4 linked regions of the Arabidopsis thaliana genome follow. The protein of the gene in region 1 interacts with the protein of each later gene in a biochemical or structural test. Each region holds a gene or a part of one and is shown in the gene's direction. Other genes may lie near its edges.

Evidence for each region.
Region 2: of the proteins of BZR1 (region 1) and BIN2, one has a biochemical effect on the other in vitro, tested with the Arabidopsis thaliana proteins (3 studies listed by BioGRID).
Region 3: the proteins of BZR1 (region 1) and GRF6 form a complex in vitro, tested with the Arabidopsis thaliana proteins (one study listed by BioGRID).
Region 4: the proteins of BZR1 (region 1) and RGA1 form a complex in vitro, tested with the Arabidopsis thaliana proteins (2 studies listed by BioGRID).

What each region holds. Positions count from the first base shown.
Region 1 is NC_003070.9:28,183,804-28,188,618, forward strand, and holds BZR1 (Brassinosteroid signaling positive regulator (BZR1) family protein), read left to right. Parts: upstream 1-1,700; 5' UTR 1,701-1,905; coding exon 1,906-2,172; intron 2,173-2,516; coding exon 2,517-3,260; 3' UTR 3,261-3,342; exon of another isoform or gene 3,343-3,607; intron 3,608-3,643; exon of another isoform or gene 3,644-3,843; coding exon of another isoform or gene 3,844-4,164; 3' UTR 4,165-4,243; downstream 4,244-4,815. Other genes in the region: AT1G75090 (DNA glycosylase superfamily protein), read right to left, coding at 3,844-4,164, 4,244-4,385, 4,464-4,605.
Region 2 is NC_003075.7:10,294,299-10,299,921, forward strand, and holds BIN2 (Protein kinase superfamily protein), read left to right. Parts: upstream 1-1,839; 5' UTR 1,840-2,175; coding exon 2,176-2,190; intron 2,191-2,227; exon of another isoform or gene 2,228-2,779; coding exon 2,780-2,872; intron 2,873-2,963; coding exon 2,964-3,296; intron 3,297-3,388; coding exon 3,389-3,463; intron 3,464-3,556; coding exon 3,557-3,613; intron 3,614-3,707; coding exon 3,708-3,848; intron 3,849-3,938; coding exon 3,939-3,989; intron 3,990-4,069; coding exon 4,070-4,165; intron 4,166-4,251; coding exon 4,252-4,335; intron 4,336-4,417; coding exon 4,418-4,615; 3' UTR 4,616-5,091; downstream 5,092-5,623. UniProt on the Arabidopsis thaliana protein: Negative regulator in brassinosteroid signal transduction pathway important for plant growth. May be also involved in auxin signaling pathway. Phosphorylates and increases the degradation of BZR1 and BZR2/BES1 by the proteasome.
Region 3 is NC_003076.8:3,283,300-3,287,968, reverse strand, and holds GRF6 (G-box regulating factor 6), read left to right. Parts: upstream 1-1,621; 5' UTR 1,622-1,707; coding exon 1,708-2,193; intron 2,194-2,458; coding exon 2,459-2,581; intron 2,582-3,186; coding exon 3,187-3,303; coding exon of another isoform or gene 3,304-3,354; exon of another isoform or gene 3,355-3,397; coding exon 3,398-3,493; 3' UTR 3,494-3,496; coding exon of another isoform or gene 3,497-3,517; 3' UTR 3,518-4,116; downstream 4,117-4,669. Other genes in the region: AT5G10460 (Haloacid dehalogenase-like hydrolase (HAD) superfamily protein), read right to left, coding at 76-147. UniProt on the Arabidopsis thaliana protein: Is associated with a DNA binding complex that binds to the G box, a well-characterized cis-acting DNA regulatory element found in plant genes. Specific negative regulator of slow-vacuolar (SV) ion channel.
Region 4 is NC_003071.7:254,697-259,555, reverse strand, and holds RGA1 (GRAS family transcription factor family protein), read left to right. Parts: upstream 1-1,987; 5' UTR 1,988-2,211; coding exon 2,212-3,975; 3' UTR 3,976-4,309; downstream 4,310-4,859. UniProt on the Arabidopsis thaliana protein: Probable transcriptional regulator that acts as a repressor of the gibberellin (GA) signaling pathway. Probably acts by participating in large multiprotein complexes that repress transcription of GA-inducible genes.

The sequences.
Region 1 (4,815 bases):
ATTTAGATTTTGTAAAAACGAAATTGAAACAAAAAAGAAAGGAGTGGATACGTTTGGTTAATTTGTATGAAACATTTTGGGTACTAATTTGTATTGGAATCTGAGATTGATGCTTTTAGAGGGTTTTAAAATGATCAAAAAAGGAAAACGAGGGCCACACTTCGTAAATTTTGTGTAATGTCTACACGCGATCGACGTGAATATGAATGGTTGACTGGGTTTTTTCAAAATAAAAAAAAAGTCAGGAGTTATGGGGCCCATGCATGCGTAAGTTACGATTATACCCCTATTGTTTATTTGTTTTCGTTCCTCTCCAATGTAATTTGAATTTGAAATCACGCCTCTATTAAATATGTCATCGTATAATGTCCATATTGAACATTTAACTAAACTAAAACAATGTTCATGGAGTGATTCTTAAGCCAACATTTTTTCTTGTTCAAGACATAGCATTTTGTAAGTTTGATGGTTTAAAGTAATGTACTTATTGTCCAAAACGAGTTAGCTAGGTAACATGGAGTTAATCGGAAAAACAGAACATATTTCCAAAAAAAACATACTTAACACATAATCTACTTATTATCACAAGTAGGTTACTAGTGCCAAACCAAAGAAGAAAACCCCTAAATTCCTTTTAATGCTAGAAACGAAAGCTGGTATTAAGATTTAACTGATGATTTAAAACGTATCACCAATAATTAACACATAATCGCTCGATTAGCAACAAAGTCGTTGTAGTATAGTGGTAAGTATTCCCGCCTGTCACGCGGGTGACCCGGGTTCGATCCCCGGCAACGGCGATTACTTTAGTTTTGCCTAATTCATCGAACCCTCTGATTCATTCCAAATGTTTCCCAACTCGCGTTGATGGTTCGGGTTCCTCTGCTTTTAAGACATTAGTTACATGCTCCTGCACTTTCTACAAAATAAACGTCATAATCCAAAAATATTACATGATCATACATCATATATGCCGCCGAACCTTGTTATGGGACAAACTCGTAAACCCCTTTTTCCTTTTATGTTCAATGAACTATACAAGTTTTGGTTATGAATACATAAATAATGATGGACCCAGCAATTAATCCAAAATTTGGATATTAGATACTAAAGCTTAAAATCAACATGTAACCAAACTAAATACTTTATAGAACATAGTAAATGGTATTCACCAATCTTTATATCATTTGTAAGGTACGAAGAAGGTAAAAAAAAGAGAGAGCCAGTGTACATACAACTAATCAGGACAAAAGTAGTCAAAATTGTTTCTAAAGTGAGATTTGTATGCAAGAAAAAAGTGATAATTTTTAATTGAATATATCATTATGATGTTAATCACACGGCTTCACTGTATAAAATAAAATTTTAAAAACCAATCAAATGGTGTGTTTTTCGGTCACACAAGTAAGGGACCCACACTGAAGAAACGGTCCCACTGTGTCTCCTCCTTTCTTTTCTCTGTATTATTTGGTCATTACTCATTTTACATACTCACAGAAAAAAAAAAAGATTAGAACATAAACACACGTTACTAAGCGTAGTTATCCTCTGCACCTTAACATACACCTCTTATATTCACCTCACGTAATCTCACCCTTCCAAAACCATGTATTTACACGTGGACGATCGATACACAAGAACAATGATTCTTAATATGAACTCAATGTACTTGAACACACACACGACCCAATTTTTACATTAGATGAAAAAAATATTATTATTTGTTGGAGAAGAAAGAGAGATTCTTCTTCTTCGATTCCAGCGAAGGAAAAGCGTATTCCTCGTGAGCACTAACTTCTCACTCCTCTCTTCTTCTTCTTCATCAGTCTACGTTCACACAATCTTTCACCCACCTATTCAAAGCTCTCTCCGGAAGTTTCGAGGGGTTGGTTGTTGGTTTTCCCGATGACTTCGGATGGAGCTACGTCGACATCAGCAGCTGCAGCTGCGGCGGCGGCAGCAGCGGCGAGGAGGAAGCCGTCGTGGAGAGAAAGGGAGAATAATCGGAGGAGAGAAAGACGGAGAAGAGCTGTAGCTGCGAAGATATACACTGGGCTTAGAGCTCAAGGTGATTATAATTTGCCTAAACATTGTGATAATAATGAAGTCCTTAAAGCTCTTTGTGTTGAAGCTGGTTGGGTTGTTGAAGAAGATGGTACTACTTATCGCAAGGTGAAGACTTTCTCCATTTTTTCCAGATCTGAGCTTGTTTTATTGATGTTTTTGATGTTTGAATCTGAATTCGTTGATTTCAATTGTGGTTAAATGGGTTTGAATCTGAGAATTTGAGGGTTTTCTCAAAGTGAATTTGAATCATCAGAAACTATGGATGGATCTGATTTCTCAAAGTGAATTTATGGGTTTTCTTTCTAATTTTAGAGTTATTATTGGTATGCTAAAGTCTTAATCTTTTATGTATGATACTTGGTCCAAAGTCATTGCATTGTGTTTCTTTTGCTTACCTGTGATTGATTGATGTTTGATTGGTTATTGTTTTGCTTTTGTTGGAGTATCAGGGATGCAAGCCTTTACCTGGTGAGATAGCTGGGACTTCATCTCGAGTAACTCCATATTCATCACAGAACCAGAGCCCTCTTTCATCAGCCTTTCAAAGTCCCATCCCATCTTACCAAGTTAGCCCGTCTTCTTCATCATTCCCGAGTCCTTCTCGCGGTGAACCAAATAACAACATGTCCTCTACATTCTTCCCTTTCCTCAGAAATGGTGGCATTCCTTCTTCTCTTCCTTCCCTCAGAATCTCAAACAGTTGTCCAGTTACCCCACCGGTCTCATCGCCGACTTCTAAGAACCCGAAACCGTTGCCTAACTGGGAATCTATCGCTAAGCAATCCATGGCCATTGCTAAACAATCAATGGCGTCTTTTAATTATCCTTTCTATGCGGTTTCTGCACCTGCTAGTCCGACACATCGCCACCAGTTTCATACCCCGGCTACTATACCTGAATGTGATGAGTCTGACTCTTCCACTGTTGATTCTGGTCATTGGATAAGCTTTCAGAAGTTTGCACAACAACAGCCATTCTCTGCCTCTATGGTGCCAACCTCTCCTACCTTCAATCTTGTGAAACCTGCGCCTCAGCAGATGTCTCCAAATACTGCTGCCTTCCAAGAGATTGGTCAAAGCTCTGAGTTTAAATTTGAGAATAGCCAAGTTAAACCCTGGGAAGGAGAGAGGATACATGATGTGGGTATGGAGGATCTTGAGCTTACACTTGGAAATGGGAAGGCTCGTGGTTGACATAAACAACTAGGCAAACCCAAATGGCATGTCATTGGAATATGAGAAACTAATCCTCTTGAGTATTTTCTTCTTCGTCCAGGTATTTGGATCTTTATGGAATCTCATATGTTCTTCACTTATTATCCAAATATGCTGCCCAAAGCCTTCTCCATGGAAGCATTGGAGTGTTAGAGTGGTTATTCAATTCATGAATTTGGTTTCAAAAGCATTATTTGTAGATAAAAAAATCTTAAGATGTATGATTCTGTTTCCTTACATATGTTACATTAATTAGTGGCTTGAAACTGTCTTGTGTCTTGTCAAATTGCTTAGTCATATATCATTTCTTGAGCCGATTCTGTCTCTTAGCATCAAGATCCAAAATTTGCAAAAACATTTGCTTTTACAAAATGTTAAATTCTTTATTTCCCTGCAATCAATCTTTTGGTCAAACACTAACACATCATCAAATATCTAGTTAGACAAAGCTAGCTAGGATAGTAGCATAATCAATGAACACAGCTAGCTACAAATGGTACATTCCATAACGAATACAAACACTGGTCACTCATCTTCTTAATAGTCCAATCCCTGTTTCTGATCAAACAAGTAATGGAGAATGCAGATCCAGTTTGGTTTCAGTCTCATGGCTTTTTGTTTCTCTCTCAGTCTCAACATTACATTCTTGGTATCTGAAACAAGCTGTGAGATGATCATTAACAATGCCAGAGGCCTGCAAGAAGGAATACATAACAGTAGGACCAACGCAGCGAAACCCTCTCTGCATCATATCTTTGCTAATGTACTCTGCCTTTGGGGACTTAACCGGTACTTGACGACCATATCGATAGCCATTTCTTAATGGCTTGTGGTTCACAAATCTCCAACAATAATTACTGAACGATCCAAATTCCTGCTTGACCTGTTTTCAGATTACAACCAAAGCTATTTCAGTAAACACATAGTATCTACAATTTCATAGCAAAACACACAGTGCCTACCTTGAGAACAGATTTCGCGTTCTCTACAATTGCTCGCAGTTTCTGTTCGGATAGAATTAGACACCCATTAACTCTAAGAGACATCAACCTCTTCTCTGTGAATTGTGCTATAGCTGAAGGATCAAACTCTTCAAAGAGCTTCCTACAAAAAAGAAACCAAAACTTCTGATATCACACCAAACCAAAACACAAAATAGCAAATTCACCGTCCTAAGTTTACCTAAAGTCGTCTCTTCTGCGTAGGATTGAAGGCCAGCTAAACTCAGCCAAAGCTTGTGAGAAGACAAGTAGCTCGAAGAGTTTCTTGTCATCACGAACTGGAACACCCCATTCCTCGTCGTGGAACAAAACATAGATCGGGTCTGTTTGATCAATCACCATTATTATTATTAACTGAAAAACTTACATATCCAATGTCATCAATCATCTTCTACATTTTTTTTTGTCCTTATTTATCAACTACAATACCTAGTTTTTGCTAGGTGCAATTAATGTGTTGTTGACATCTATGAAAACTGATTGTAACCTTTATTAACTTTAACGTATTATCAAAACAAAATTACATTTCGAAA
Region 2 (5,623 bases), on another chromosome or scaffold:
ATAATACTTCAATAACTTTTTAGTAAAACTAACTGGATCAACTGATGAATCATATATCAAAAAAACAAAAAAAAAAACTAACGGAGGTAGACAATAGTTTAGCTGGAATGCTTGAAGAAATGGCAAGAATATGCTTCGAGAAGTTATGATTTATGAAGAGGTTACCTGCAAATTTTTTCATTTCTTTTTGCCGACGGTTGGCTGTTAGTTAGGAAAAAGAATTTTTGTTATAGGATTTTCTCTTCCGTTTCGTACAAACCCAATCATTATTCTCGTCTTTATACTTAACTTTGCCTCTCATTTTCATGTTATCAATCTTTTAAATTAAATATATCGTCAATGACTGTTATGAATAATTAGTTCTTCATTCTCTGCCTTGGTTCGAACCTCAGTCACATGGTGCACGTTATTGTGATTTCCCATACCTCAAGAGTTATTCAAGATCCCTTACAGAAATATATTTATATAATCTTTTATCTAATGTAGTTATTTACAAACATGTATTATCTACCAAAATAAAAAGGGCTAAAAGCTTCTTGAGTGAGACCGCTTTTGGTTCGATTCATTTTCCTACACTCCAATAGTATTACACTATTGTATATAACAAGAATCGTGGGATTTGTTTAATCCGTACAATGAAACAAGAAAGATATACAATAACTTAATATCATTTTTTTTTGGGGACAATCTTAATATCATTTCTAATTTCTATAGAACCAAAAACACTCATAACAACTTAAACTTTGTTTTTTGTGAGAAAAATAACAACTTAATTACTAGTTACTACATTGACAATTTAACATCTTCAGCTAAAACCGAATGTATATGAACATTTATAATCTAGTTGCTATTGTATATACGATTGGATAATACGCATATCGACATTTAAATAATTGAGCCTGAAGATAATTCACAAATATGCAATGTAAATCCGTCCATACAGCCAAAAGTATGTATGTCCCATGCATAATTGAACAAAAAGAAATTATATTAATATTATTTTTGTTGTCTTCTGCAAATGCTAGGACTGCTATCATTATCATCATTGATTTTAATATTGATGTTTCCAGAAAAATAAATAAACAAATATAAAGAAAAAAACAAACACAATAAGTAAAGCTACACTATTAGGTAATAATTAAAGCTCATTTTTAAGTCTAAAATTTTAATTATAAAATAAAAACATTAAAAAGTTAAGACCCAAAGAAACATAAATGCTTTTTTCTTTCATCAATGTCAAAAAAGAAGTTTTCCCACCAAATGGTCAAACTTGGATCTTTGACAATATTGTTCCAATTTCATCATGCCCTATCTTTTCTATTTATACACATACCTTAGATATAATTATTAAACCCAAAATTTGTGTTAAGAAAAAAAATAGACCCAAAATTTGTGTTAAGAAAAAAAATAGACCCAAAATTTGGAATATATATATAAGTCACCGCTGGAAAAAAAATTATTGCAAGTAATTTCTTATATGAAATTGGAATGATAATATTTTGATCAAGTATCCATTACTAAAATTTTACAACGCTAGATAACGAGATTGCTTGAAGTCGAACTTGTGAACAAATTATAATAATGTAAAACTAACTTGTATTGACTAATCTTTGATTTTTTTTACAATAATGAGTGATATTACATTCATTTTATTAACTAAATACAACGAATATGATAAATATTCAGTCCTCTTATAAACTTTATGATAGTGAAAATTTGAGACATTGACAATTCTAGCATTCTAACATTTTATGAGATTACATGAAATGTCAATTTAGACCTTAAACCAAACGAATACATGATTCAAATTTGACCGACAAGTACATGATGCCTTCCCTTTGATCACGAAATTTCCACAAAGAGTCCGTGTCTGCGTAATTAACCAGCAATTTCAAGGGTGTTTACGTAATTGTAGCTTAACAAATAAAAAACACGAAAGAAGATGGCGAAGAAAACGGAAAGTAGTAGATAGATAAAGAAAGAGAAAGAGAAGAGCTGGATTCACATGGTCTTGTTCTTTCTCTCTCCTTCTTTTCTCATCTTGCGGCTTCCCTTTCTCTCTCTATCGCCACAATGATCATTACCAACCAAACTGATTGAAACTCATTTGTTCTCTCTCTCTCAAATCCACTCTCTCTCTTTCTTTTCTCTTCTCCTCTCTGTGTCTCTATCGCCATGGCTGATGATAAGGTAAAGCTGCTTGTGTTCCTTTTGCTGTCTTTTGAAGAAGAAGATCCTGTTTTTTGGTTTTTCCACATTTGACCCTTCAATTAGTTGTCTTGAGATTCCTGTTCTTACAGATGTTTTGTGATAATAAATCTAGTTTAGTTAGTACTCTTGAAGTTGAACGGTTTTGAGTTCTGGGTTTGTCCAAAGTTTTGAGCTTTCGTTAACTTTTTGACTTACCCTGAGATCTCTGAGGGTTTTGAGTTCTGAGCTTAGAATTTTCTAAGTTAGCTCTGTTGGGATGATCCATGTCTATATATCTCGATCTGTGATTAATCCAGAGTTTATACAAGCTGCTAGATCCATAATTGAACATAGATTAGTCCTTGTTTGGTTTGTTATATGTATTTGTTTTGTTTACCATTCTTTTGGCGTGACAAAAGTATATATTTTTAGTTTTAACTAAATCAGATTCACTCTGCGTAACGGTTATTTTGTAACCACTCTTTTAGGATAAAAGTTTCCTTCTTTAGACTTTTGATTCTCAGACAAGCATTATTCTTTTAGCTTTTGATAATGGTTTTGTGCTGATATTAAAGCTTTTCTCTTTCAGGAGATGCCTGCTGCTGTAGTTGATGGACATGATCAAGTCACTGGTCATATTATTTCCACCACAATCGGTGGCAAAAATGGTGAACCAAAACAGGTATTTTTAAGGCTTTTAACCAAATAGACTCACTTTTATGTATATGCAAGATTTTGATGGTTACCAATACATTTTTCTATGTTGTTGTTAGACAATTAGTTACATGGCGGAGCGAGTTGTTGGTACAGGCTCGTTCGGGATCGTTTTCCAAGCAAAATGTTTGGAGACTGGAGAAACCGTGGCGATAAAGAAGGTTTTGCAAGATAGAAGATACAAGAACCGAGAACTTCAGTTGATGCGTGTGATGGATCATCCGAATGTGGTTTGTTTGAAGCATTGCTTCTTTTCGACTACAAGTAAAGACGAGCTTTTCTTGAACTTGGTTATGGAGTATGTCCCTGAGAGCTTGTATCGAGTTCTGAAACATTATAGTAGTGCAAACCAAAGAATGCCTCTTGTCTATGTTAAACTTTACATGTATCAGGTAATAACAACACACATTCATATCTTCCATTTCCAAAGTTGATGTACATAAGATTGTTCTTAGGCTGATATTACTTCCTTTTGTTATGTTAGATCTTCCGGGGACTTGCTTACATTCACAATGTTGCTGGAGTTTGTCACAGAGATCTAAAGCCTCAAAATCTTCTGGTATGTGTAACATTTTAAGATTGAACTCTTTGTTTTTTTTCTTGCCTTTGTTTCTTTCGTTCTTAATGTATCTCTTCTGGTCTCTTTCTATAGGTTGATCCTCTTACTCATCAAGTCAAAATCTGTGACTTTGGCAGTGCGAAACAGCTCGTAAGACTTTGTGACATATAAACTCATTCGACTTGTAGCGGTTGTTGTTTTCTGTGATCTTGTCATTTACTGTTGAAATTTACTTTTGCTTCAGGTTAAAGGTGAAGCCAACATTTCTTACATCTGCTCACGATTCTACCGTGCACCCGAGCTCATATTTGGTGCCACTGAGTACACAACTTCTATTGATATCTGGTCTGCTGGTTGTGTTCTTGCTGAGCTTCTTCTTGGTCAGGTAAACAATTCTTTCAGTAACCAGCTTATTCAATCTCCATGTGTATATTTGCATTAGGACTCATTGTGACTATATCATGTTCTTATGCAGCCATTATTTCCCGGAGAAAATGCTGTGGATCAGCTCGTTGAAATTATAAAAGTAAGAATCTTTAAACGATGATTCCTTGCAAATTACATTCTTTGGCTACAAAATCCTCACTGTATAGTTGTTGTACACAGGTTCTTGGTACACCAACTCGAGAAGAAATCCGTTGTATGAATCCACATTACACAGATTTCAGGTTTCCACAGATAAAGGCACATCCCTGGCACAAGGTTAGTGTCTTTTCTCTTTTTGCATGTGTTCTTGTTTCAGTTTCTTTCTTCACACATCAACTGATCATAATTACGTTTTGGTTTAGATCTTCCACAAAAGGATGCCCCCAGAAGCGATTGATTTTGCATCAAGGCTGCTTCAATACTCTCCAAGTCTAAGATGCACAGCGGTAAGCATTGGTCTTGAGGTTTCTTCAGTCTCTAAGAATCCAACTGAATCCTTACTATATATTTTGTTTCCTCGTATTTCAGCTCGAAGCTTGTGCACATCCGTTCTTTGATGAACTCAGAGAACCAAACGCTCGTTTACCAAATGGACGGCCTTTCCCGCCTCTCTTCAACTTCAAACAAGAAGTAGCTGGATCATCACCTGAACTGGTCAACAAGTTGATTCCAGACCATATCAAGAGACAATTGGGTCTAAGCTTCTTGAATCAATCTGGAACTTAAAAGGGATCCTGCAAAAGACAACTACTTTTTTATATATAATGTACCATTACACGAGCCACAAGGTCGTAGTTGAAGGCAAACGTGGAGGACACAATTCAAAGTTTTTCCTCCTCAAACTCGTTCAGACAAAGCCAGCTGCTAGCAAAACCAACTCCCCCAAATCTGCGAAAACAAAAACTCTCCAGTGTTGTATCTGCTTATTTCTCTTCTCTTTTCAAGTTTGGTGAAAAACACAGTCTCCTCTTTGCTTCATTTCTTCTTTCTTTCCCCCTTATGTAAATGAGTTTAGTCAGAAGTTTTTTTATATAGTAAAGTTTGGGCAGAAGGTGAAGAATGTAATCAAAGTGATACTCTTTCAACGAGGAGCTTCTTTCAAACACTTTTTTTTTTTTTCAAACACTTCATGAATGGATACATGGTTTTGCTTTAAGCATAAGTATATTTGTATTAAATTTTCACTCAATTTAATTGCACGAATCATTACAAAAATAATATCTCGCTACTCATATAAATACCCTATAAATAAATAAGTGAATTTTTTTTATCTCTCATGGAAATTTGATTTATGTATTTATATGTTTTAAGATTCGAAGAAATTTTTAAATAATGAAAATTTACAAATATATAATTCTTAATTCAGAATTTCAGATATTGAATTACTTATTGGATTTTTAAAACAAAAAGAAAATTACATGACTTTTTTTTTCTTTTTTTTTTTTAAATATCTGTTAGTTCAAGTTAAAAGACCATACATTTTCTAAAGGCGGGACCTATATCAGGTTAAATTCATCTCCTTTTAGAAAAAAAATATATTTGGGAAAGGCTTTGATAGCAAGCAATTAAAGTATCCGAAACTAACAAAACCTATCTGGTCTTGGACTCTTAGTCTTTATATAAACAACATCAGATAGATCGAGAGACCATACGCAACAATTTACTAATTTCTCTTCTCCTTCGTTGCTTTTGAAACCCTAGTTATTATCGAGAGATCAAACACGTACGTACACA
Region 3 (4,669 bases), on another chromosome or scaffold:
TTAATGGCTTCGCTCGTCATAAGAGGAGGAGAAAGTCAGAGAGCACATAAGAAGACAGTAAATTGAAGGTCAAACCTTAAAATTTCTCGTCTCAACTATGTCTTTGAGGCCATTCATTGGCTGTGAGAGCTGCGAGGAACAGAACATTTTTCTTCCTGTGACGAGAAGAAGAAGAACTGAAGAGAACTGGACCAATCGAAAAACAAACCACAAAGTGTTTTTCACTTTACCACAAGCACAACGCATACGTACGCGCAACATACGCGAGTAAGCTCCACGCTTTACTTATGTAAAACAACATTATATAGTAGCTAATCCTTCAGCAAACAACATAGTCGCTTTGGCCGAGTGGTTAAGGCGTGTGCCTGCTAAGTACATGGGGTTTCCCCGCGAGAGTTCGAATCTCTCAGGCGACGATATTTTTTTAATATTTTGTCTTTCAAAACAATTTCCCGCCCTTTAAACAAACAACCGCTCAGTTGACCAAAGCGCCCCTTCTCTCTTTCATTCTTATTTTGGTGGCAACAGTGATGAATTTGTATATCAGATTTATAGAAACTTGAAACGATCGCTGAGTTTATATATATATATATATACATTTTATTAACAATAGAACCAAAATGAACATATGAGTCATCACTAATCTAACTACACCATGCCCAACTCTTATAGCTGAATGTTCAAAGTATGGTTTCTATCAACATATTTTTTCTCTCTTCTTCTCCAAGTAGTACAGTATGCAGTTTTCCATATAGCGTTTACAAAAGCATAGACCGAAGCTCCATTATCAATCTTGGTGCCTCCAAATTTTCGTCCTTTAACGAATTCCCGATTAAGCTTTGCATTCGAGTCACAAATATCTCATCTAAAACCTGTAAATCATCATATAACAATAACAAGATAAGAATCAAAAAGGCATATCCTTATTGTTTTTTGCAGTGATAAAGAGTTGTGAAAGAGAAAAAGAAAAAGAAAAATGAGTTGTGAAAGTCCAAAGTAAAGGCCGAAAGAAAACATAACGGCCGAGAGACGGAGCTTGTTCCCATCCGTCGATGCAAAAAAAAATTCCTTCTGGACTCACGGTGACGGTTGACCACATGAACGTATTAAAAAGTCTCCTTTCTCGGACTTTGTCTTTTTATTTTTCACTTTTTTCCTTTGCAGACGACACTACTACTAACTATTGATTTCCATTTTGGTTAATATACTTTAATATTAAAAGAATATATACTTTAGTCTTTTAAATTATGTACTTTATTTCTCTTTAAGAAAAAGTTTTCGCATTTTATGCAACAACAAAAAAAAAGGTGTGTATTACAAACTTCATAAGTATTGGAATTCATAAGGCCCATATTAGGCCTAATAAAGGCCCAATCAGAGTTCTGACTTTAAAACTAGTGACTAGAAGCTGACTCACTAAAAAACTATTATCGTCCATTCACTCGCTCTTATCACAAACCCCAAACCCTCCCAACCATCCCACTCGCCAACACAAACCACGCTCCTCACTCTACGAAAGACTATAACATCAAACGCCGTCGTATAATCGAAAGTGAACACACTTGCGCGTGGGTTTAATATACATCTATTTTTAATAGCCCACCTGACTCTTTGCCCTTTATTCTTCTTCTCTCTTTCTCTTTCCCATTTTCTTCAAATTTTCCCCATTAAACAAAAAAAAATCAAATCTCTCTCTTTCTCTCTCTAATGGCGGCGACATTAGGCAGAGACCAGTATGTGTACATGGCGAAGCTCGCCGAGCAGGCGGAGCGTTACGAAGAGATGGTTCAATTCATGGAACAGCTCGTTACAGGCGCTACTCCAGCGGAAGAGCTCACCGTTGAAGAGAGGAATCTCCTCTCTGTTGCTTACAAAAACGTGATCGGATCTCTACGCGCCGCCTGGAGGATCGTGTCTTCGATTGAGCAGAAGGAAGAGAGTAGGAAGAACGACGAGCACGTGTCGCTTGTCAAGGATTACAGATCTAAAGTTGAGTCTGAGCTTTCTTCTGTTTGCTCTGGAATCCTTAAGCTCCTTGACTCGCATCTGATCCCATCTGCTGGAGCGAGTGAGTCTAAGGTCTTTTACTTGAAGATGAAAGGTGATTATCATCGGTACATGGCTGAGTTTAAGTCTGGTGATGAGAGGAAAACTGCTGCTGAAGATACCATGCTCGCTTACAAAGCAGCTCAGGTTATTTTCATTCTCCAAATCTGATTTGGCTGATAAGTTTTGTTTGTGAACTCTGTTTACGAGATTTCTTCTATTGGTAATAGCTTCCAAATCTAGTAATTATGTCCTGATCTAGAATTGGTCTCTAATTGAGCTACTATGCTTATCAAATCATGAGAAAGTAGATTGCTGTTTTGTTTCAGTTTTTGTCTTAAAGAGTAAAAATTGCTTTCTTCAAACTGATGGAGATGTTTTTGTCTATTTTTCGATGTGATGTTTTTTGAAGGATATCGCAGCTGCGGATATGGCACCTACTCATCCGATAAGGCTTGGTCTGGCCCTGAATTTCTCAGTGTTCTACTATGAGATTCTCAATTCTTCAGACAAAGCTTGTAACATGGCCAAACAGGTTACTCTTCTTCTTTCTTTTTCGCTGCTTGCCTCAATTAGGAACATCTCTTTCTCTCTCTTTCCGTTGCCTCTCTGGTAACAAACATATAAGTCGTTGACCTGAGTTTGTCTCTTGAGAGTTTGCTTCTGTTTCTTGCTTTATGTTATTACAAAAGAGAATTGACCACTTGTTGACTAGTCTTGTTGTACTTTTTTCTTTTCTTAAGATGTATTGTTGGGTAAAGAACCAATCTTTGGCCCTCTGTGTATCATCATTTCTTATCACTTTGAATGAGCTTGCTTGATGTTTTGACTAAGAGGATTGACCACTTGTTGACTATTTCTGTTGTACCTTTATCTCCTGAGTATGTTTTGTTAGATAAAGAACCACTCTTTGATTCATGGTGCTTCATCTAGTATCACTTTGAGTCAGCTTTTTTAACAAAATTCCTCTTTTTTAATAATCACAGACTAATATGATGATGAAGATCCATGTTGTCCAATACTAGGACTGATGTCTCATTCTGTTTCAACTAGAACTTACGTATAAGACATTTAGTAAAACGGCAGAAATTTTTCACTGTGGGGGCATTCTCAATTTTGATACTGGATTTTTAATTGTAGGCTTTTGAGGAGGCCATAGCTGAGCTTGACACTCTGGGAGAGGAATCCTACAAAGACAGCACTCTCATAATGCAGTTGCTGAGGGACAATTTAACCCTTTGGACCTCCGATATGCAGGTATTCACATCTCTTTATGCCGTACCTCGATATTCTACACCATTCGAATAACTATAAAGATCATATCTTAGTGTGATTAGTGTTTCCATCATAGACCAATCAGATGCATCATATAAGAGACATCAAAGAACATGTTAAAACTGAAATAACCGCAAAACCGTGTGTGCTGAGTTATTACTACTCTATGTAACAGGAGCAGATGGACGAGGCCTGAGGATCTAGATGAAGGGGGGGAGGGTTGTTACGCGATGTTTCTGCCACCAAATCGATCTCAAAATCCCCATAACCTTTGCTCAAAAACTGTGAAAAAAGATTGAAGTGTTTATGATGATTATGATTGTGCACAGCTTGATGATTTATCTACTCTACTAAACCTCTGTGCTCTTAATATTTATTGTCTCGACTCTGCTCAAGCCTTAAAAACATCTTTCTCCTTAAGGCTCCTCTGGTTAAATTATGATCCTTCTACTGTATCGTCAAAATCAAGTTGGAACCCAAAATTCGTGGATTTTTTGTCGGTGTGAAACTGTGAATAATAAAAATCGTCAATGTTGTTACGTATATAAAATCCAGTCAAACCAAGAAAATCTGTGCAACATAGGCTGTGGAAGAATGCGACCATAGAGAAGCACACACGTATCAAAGAAGTCGAATCTCTCATTACGCAAAGAGATGCAAAATATCAAAAGTGTACTTGGACCACTTTGTCTGCATTGCATGCATGAAAACTATTTATAAAAATAACAGTCTTTGGTCGAATTCTGAGACATTTAGTTGTTTTCTCATACATTACTCCAACTTTTCTTTTTCTTCCACCAATCTTTTCAGAGAAAGATACTGTAAAAACCAAAGTTGCTCGCTCACACGTGATTCCAGTCCACGTTCATTATTTATATAAAGCTTGTCATGTTAAAAGCTTTATATGATTTTAAAGATGTTTATTCTTGAAGTTTAATTGTATTTGGATTTTCTTAAGTAGTGGTATTATTTTTACGGGTTTCTTTTCTTTGAACTTTTTGGTTTTCAGTTCTTTTGTTAAGAGTTTTCCTTTTCAGTCTAAATGCAAATAGATGAATGGATCACAATATGTGTGCTCTCCTTTTAACTATTATGTAGCAAATGATTTTCGATAGCCAAAAAGACTTGAGATGAGTCTCCTCATGTTAGTTATCTAATGATTGCATATGACAATCACATGATCTTATGCTTATGCAGGGGGTTCTGAAAATTCGGTGTTCTCAAGCTAATTATATTGTAGTCCACGAATATGTTTGGTGCAAACGATATTCACACTTCTCACCTCACCAGCAACAATATTAGCTTCTAACTAACAACACTAATATAATGACTAGATATTCATTGACTT
Region 4 (4,859 bases), on another chromosome or scaffold:
GGAAAAGTTATGGATATTTGAGTTATCACTGAAAAATATGTTTATAAAAAATGGAGAAGACTTAAAATATAACATTTTTAAAAATATTATGTACAGAAACAAAACCATGGTTTTGCATGGAAGAAATAACAAAATTAATATGAACCCAAAAAAAAAAAAAAAAAAAAAGTGAATTTAATGATAAATAGTTAAAGAAAGTGACGTAACATGACAATATAACATGTAACAAATGGATAGAGATGAAATTAAAAAAAACGGATCCGTAAAAACGGCCGTCAAGATGAAGGAAGCAGACTCGGTCCCTACCGTTTTAGATCTAATAATAATAGGACACGTGTTCAAATCTCATGAATTTTAGTAGAGACCACAAAAGTTCCAACCGCGTATAGTTATTGAAAGCTATATTGTGGGACCCATTAACACGTGGATCCATCACGTGCTGTCAGTTTGAGTTTCCTGAAGGATACAAATGAATATATTCTTTTCTTTTTAATACAGTTGATAGAAAGAGGCCGTTAATGACGGCGTTAAGCAATGTAACGGGAATCTCTTTGAATGATTTGACGTCGACGGACGCCGGCTGTTATGCTTAAAAACGGGTTTTCTTGTCACACCATTTTTTTTGCCTTTAATTAATTGTATTTCGAGCTATGAATGCTTAGTAATATTACACTATTAGGTTTTGTTTGCTTGATGATTTTTTTATATAGTCGGAACTTTAATATTGTCATCAAATATCATTAAATTTAATGTTTTCATTCGTGTTTTATTTAGTTTTTGTTGTTTTCGTAAGTTTTAAGTGGCTAGTTATATTTTTTATTTAGACTTTGACAGTAACAGTAGATTAGCATAAGCCTAAGTTAACTTTGTCAAGTTAAAAAGATCGAAGATACAACATCTGAAATCTCGATATATATTTATTATTATTATGAAAGCTTTTAAAATTATATGCATCTTGGAAATTAGAAGAAAAAATATGACCTAATTAACGTTTAATACTTGAAAGTTACTTCTATAAAAGAGAACTCGAAAATTGAAAATACATTGGTCCGATGATTTTTCAATACCCAATTATAGAATCCCTTTTAGAGATTTTTTTTTGTACATAAACTGAACCTGTAGGACTTAAAGTTACTGTAAAATTACTAGTACTGTACTTTTGTTAAAACCAAAATTTACTATTCTTTTATCTGATCATACGCAATTTTAGATTTATGTTTTCGATGGCTGAGCTTCAAACAACTTGTTGGAAAAAATAAAATAATAATCTCTTACAATTCAAAATGTGATTATATATCATTATTTTTTTACATCCAAGACATATGGTTAAATTATTATTACCATAAAGAAACTGGGAAGTAAAACAGTATCATGCTATCATGAAGTGAGTTCAGCTTTTTAAGTTGAATTTAATTATCCTCTGAAAAAGAGCATCTTCAGTTCTTCCATCAAAAGAATCAACTAAAAAGCCCTAAATCTCCTATTTTATAGATTTGACAAAAGTTTAATGATTCTCTTAGACTTGTAATTACTTTCTTCATCAATTAAACTAAAATTATTATATAGTTAAAAAAACAAACTCATAATATATCTATTCAGTAGATCCACAATTTTTTATATTACTCCATCAGATCTTGTAAATCAAAACAAAAAAATACACATCACAATGAATGTAAATATCACTTCAAATATACAGAAATTCTAAATGTTTTTACACACTTTATTTTTTTTTACGTATATGAAAATAAAAATAAAATTAGTAATGTGTGTTGTAATTTCACAGCCTTATCACTTTAGATGTGTATGTATGTTACTCTTTCTGGTACATTATTCATTGGTCGTCGAGCCCCATCACCACCATTCTTTTTCTTTTCTTTTTTTAATTTTCATCCAGAATAAATATCTTTTTATTTTAATAAATTTATATTTTCTGGTAAATAAAATAAATATTTTTTGAGAAATTTTTTTATTATTATTTTGAGAAATTATTATTATTAGTTCTGGTATGAATGATGATTGAAGTGGTAGTAGCAGTGAAAAACAAAAGCAATCCAATCCCAAACCCATTTGCTCTTAAGATTCTTCACATAGAGAAGTCACATGTTCCTTCTTCTTCTTCCTTCATCATCCCCAAACACACACAAACTAAAAAAAAGGCAAAACCCTAGATCCAAGATCAGACCTAATCTAATCGAAACTCATAGCTGAAAAATGAAGAGAGATCATCACCAATTCCAAGGTCGATTGTCCAACCACGGGACTTCTTCTTCATCATCATCAATCTCTAAAGATAAGATGATGATGGTGAAAAAAGAAGAAGACGGTGGAGGTAACATGGACGACGAGCTTCTCGCTGTTTTAGGTTACAAAGTTAGGTCATCGGAGATGGCGGAGGTTGCTTTGAAACTCGAACAATTAGAGACGATGATGAGTAATGTTCAAGAAGATGGTTTATCTCATCTCGCGACGGATACTGTTCATTATAATCCGTCGGAGCTTTATTCTTGGCTTGATAATATGCTCTCTGAGCTTAATCCTCCTCCTCTTCCGGCGAGTTCTAACGGTTTAGATCCGGTTCTTCCTTCGCCGGAGATTTGTGGTTTTCCGGCTTCGGATTATGACCTTAAAGTCATTCCCGGAAACGCGATTTATCAGTTTCCGGCGATTGATTCTTCGTCTTCGTCGAATAATCAGAACAAGCGTTTGAAATCATGCTCGAGTCCTGATTCTATGGTTACATCGACTTCGACGGGTACGCAGATTGGTGGAGTCATAGGAACGACGGTGACGACAACCACCACGACAACGACGGCGGCGGGTGAGTCAACTCGTTCTGTTATCCTGGTTGACTCGCAAGAGAACGGTGTTCGTTTAGTCCACGCGCTTATGGCTTGTGCAGAAGCAATCCAGCAGAACAATTTGACTCTAGCGGAAGCTCTTGTGAAGCAAATCGGATGCTTAGCTGTGTCTCAAGCCGGAGCTATGAGAAAAGTGGCTACTTACTTCGCCGAAGCTTTAGCGCGGCGGATCTACCGTCTCTCTCCGCCGCAGAATCAGATCGATCATTGTCTCTCCGATACTCTTCAGATGCACTTTTACGAGACTTGTCCTTATCTTAAATTCGCTCACTTCACGGCGAACCAAGCGATTCTCGAAGCTTTTGAAGGTAAGAAGAGAGTACACGTCATTGATTTCTCGATGAACCAAGGTCTTCAATGGCCTGCACTTATGCAAGCTCTTGCGCTTCGAGAAGGAGGTCCTCCAACTTTCCGGTTAACCGGAATTGGTCCACCGGCGCCGGATAATTCTGATCATCTTCATGAAGTTGGTTGTAAATTAGCTCAGCTTGCGGAGGCGATTCACGTAGAATTCGAATACCGTGGATTCGTTGCTAACAGCTTAGCCGATCTCGATGCTTCGATGCTTGAGCTTAGACCGAGCGATACGGAAGCTGTTGCGGTGAACTCTGTTTTTGAGCTACATAAGCTCTTAGGTCGTCCCGGTGGGATAGAGAAAGTTCTCGGCGTTGTGAAACAGATTAAACCGGTGATTTTCACGGTGGTTGAGCAAGAATCGAACCATAACGGACCGGTTTTCTTAGACCGGTTTACTGAATCGTTACATTATTATTCGACTCTGTTTGATTCGTTGGAAGGAGTTCCGAATAGTCAAGACAAAGTCATGTCTGAAGTTTACTTAGGGAAACAGATTTGTAATCTGGTGGCTTGTGAAGGTCCTGACAGAGTCGAGAGACACGAAACGTTGAGTCAATGGGGAAACCGGTTTGGTTCGTCCGGTTTAGCGCCGGCACATCTTGGGTCTAACGCGTTTAAGCAAGCGAGTATGCTTTTGTCTGTGTTTAATAGTGGCCAAGGTTATCGTGTGGAGGAGAGTAATGGATGTTTGATGTTGGGTTGGCACACTCGTCCACTCATTACCACCTCCGCTTGGAAACTCTCGACGGCGGCGTACTGAGTTTGACTCGAAGCATACGACGGTGGTGGAGTCGAGTCGAGTGAATTTGAGATTGAGATCAGTGGACCGGTGATGACATATGTTCGGACCAAGACCTAAACCGAACTGAATCGAACCGTTTTGCCTTTTGTTTATTTTATTTATTTTCGTTCACTTGTTTAAAATTCTTATATATATCGTTTTGGTAGGTCATTTTTAATTTATGCCTTTTTGGGATCAATTTTTAATAGGCTGAGTTTGTATTTATTAATAAATTATCTTTATGAATTTTAAACTAAAACTATGTTTTAATCTCATTTAAAAAAAAATTAATATCAAGTTTTATTAATCTCAATTTCTTGGCAAAATAATTTTTTTTTATCGACTTCACTAAGTATGAACAGTAATAAACTAATAATTAGTGAATTTAGATATTTCTAATTTGTTAATGAGGTTTATTTTATAAAGTAAAGTTGAGAAAGAGAAAGGGATGATAGTGAGTTATAACTATTGTTACAAAGAGTACTAACTACTAAGCGATAATTTCATGAAAAAGGTTTTGATACTTTTTTTAGTGGAGTGTGATTTAACAATTTTGGCTCATATTTTTAACTAATTTCTCATTGGCTGTAATCATATCGAAAAGCCAAAGTTTATGAATTGTGGTGAAGAATATAGTAAATATTTATTTAGATCGACACATCAACTTTTAGATCCGATGTTTTAATCTTTAGAAATGTTTAGTATTTTCTAATTGCAGGCGTATGTAACTTATTAATGTTAAACAAACCCTCGTGTAGTCTCGTAGACTCTCATAGGAGATATATATTAAAGTCTATAACCTGGTCTAGATGTATAGTTTATGTGTAATTAGTACATGATATTTTTATAAACCGCCGGAACAA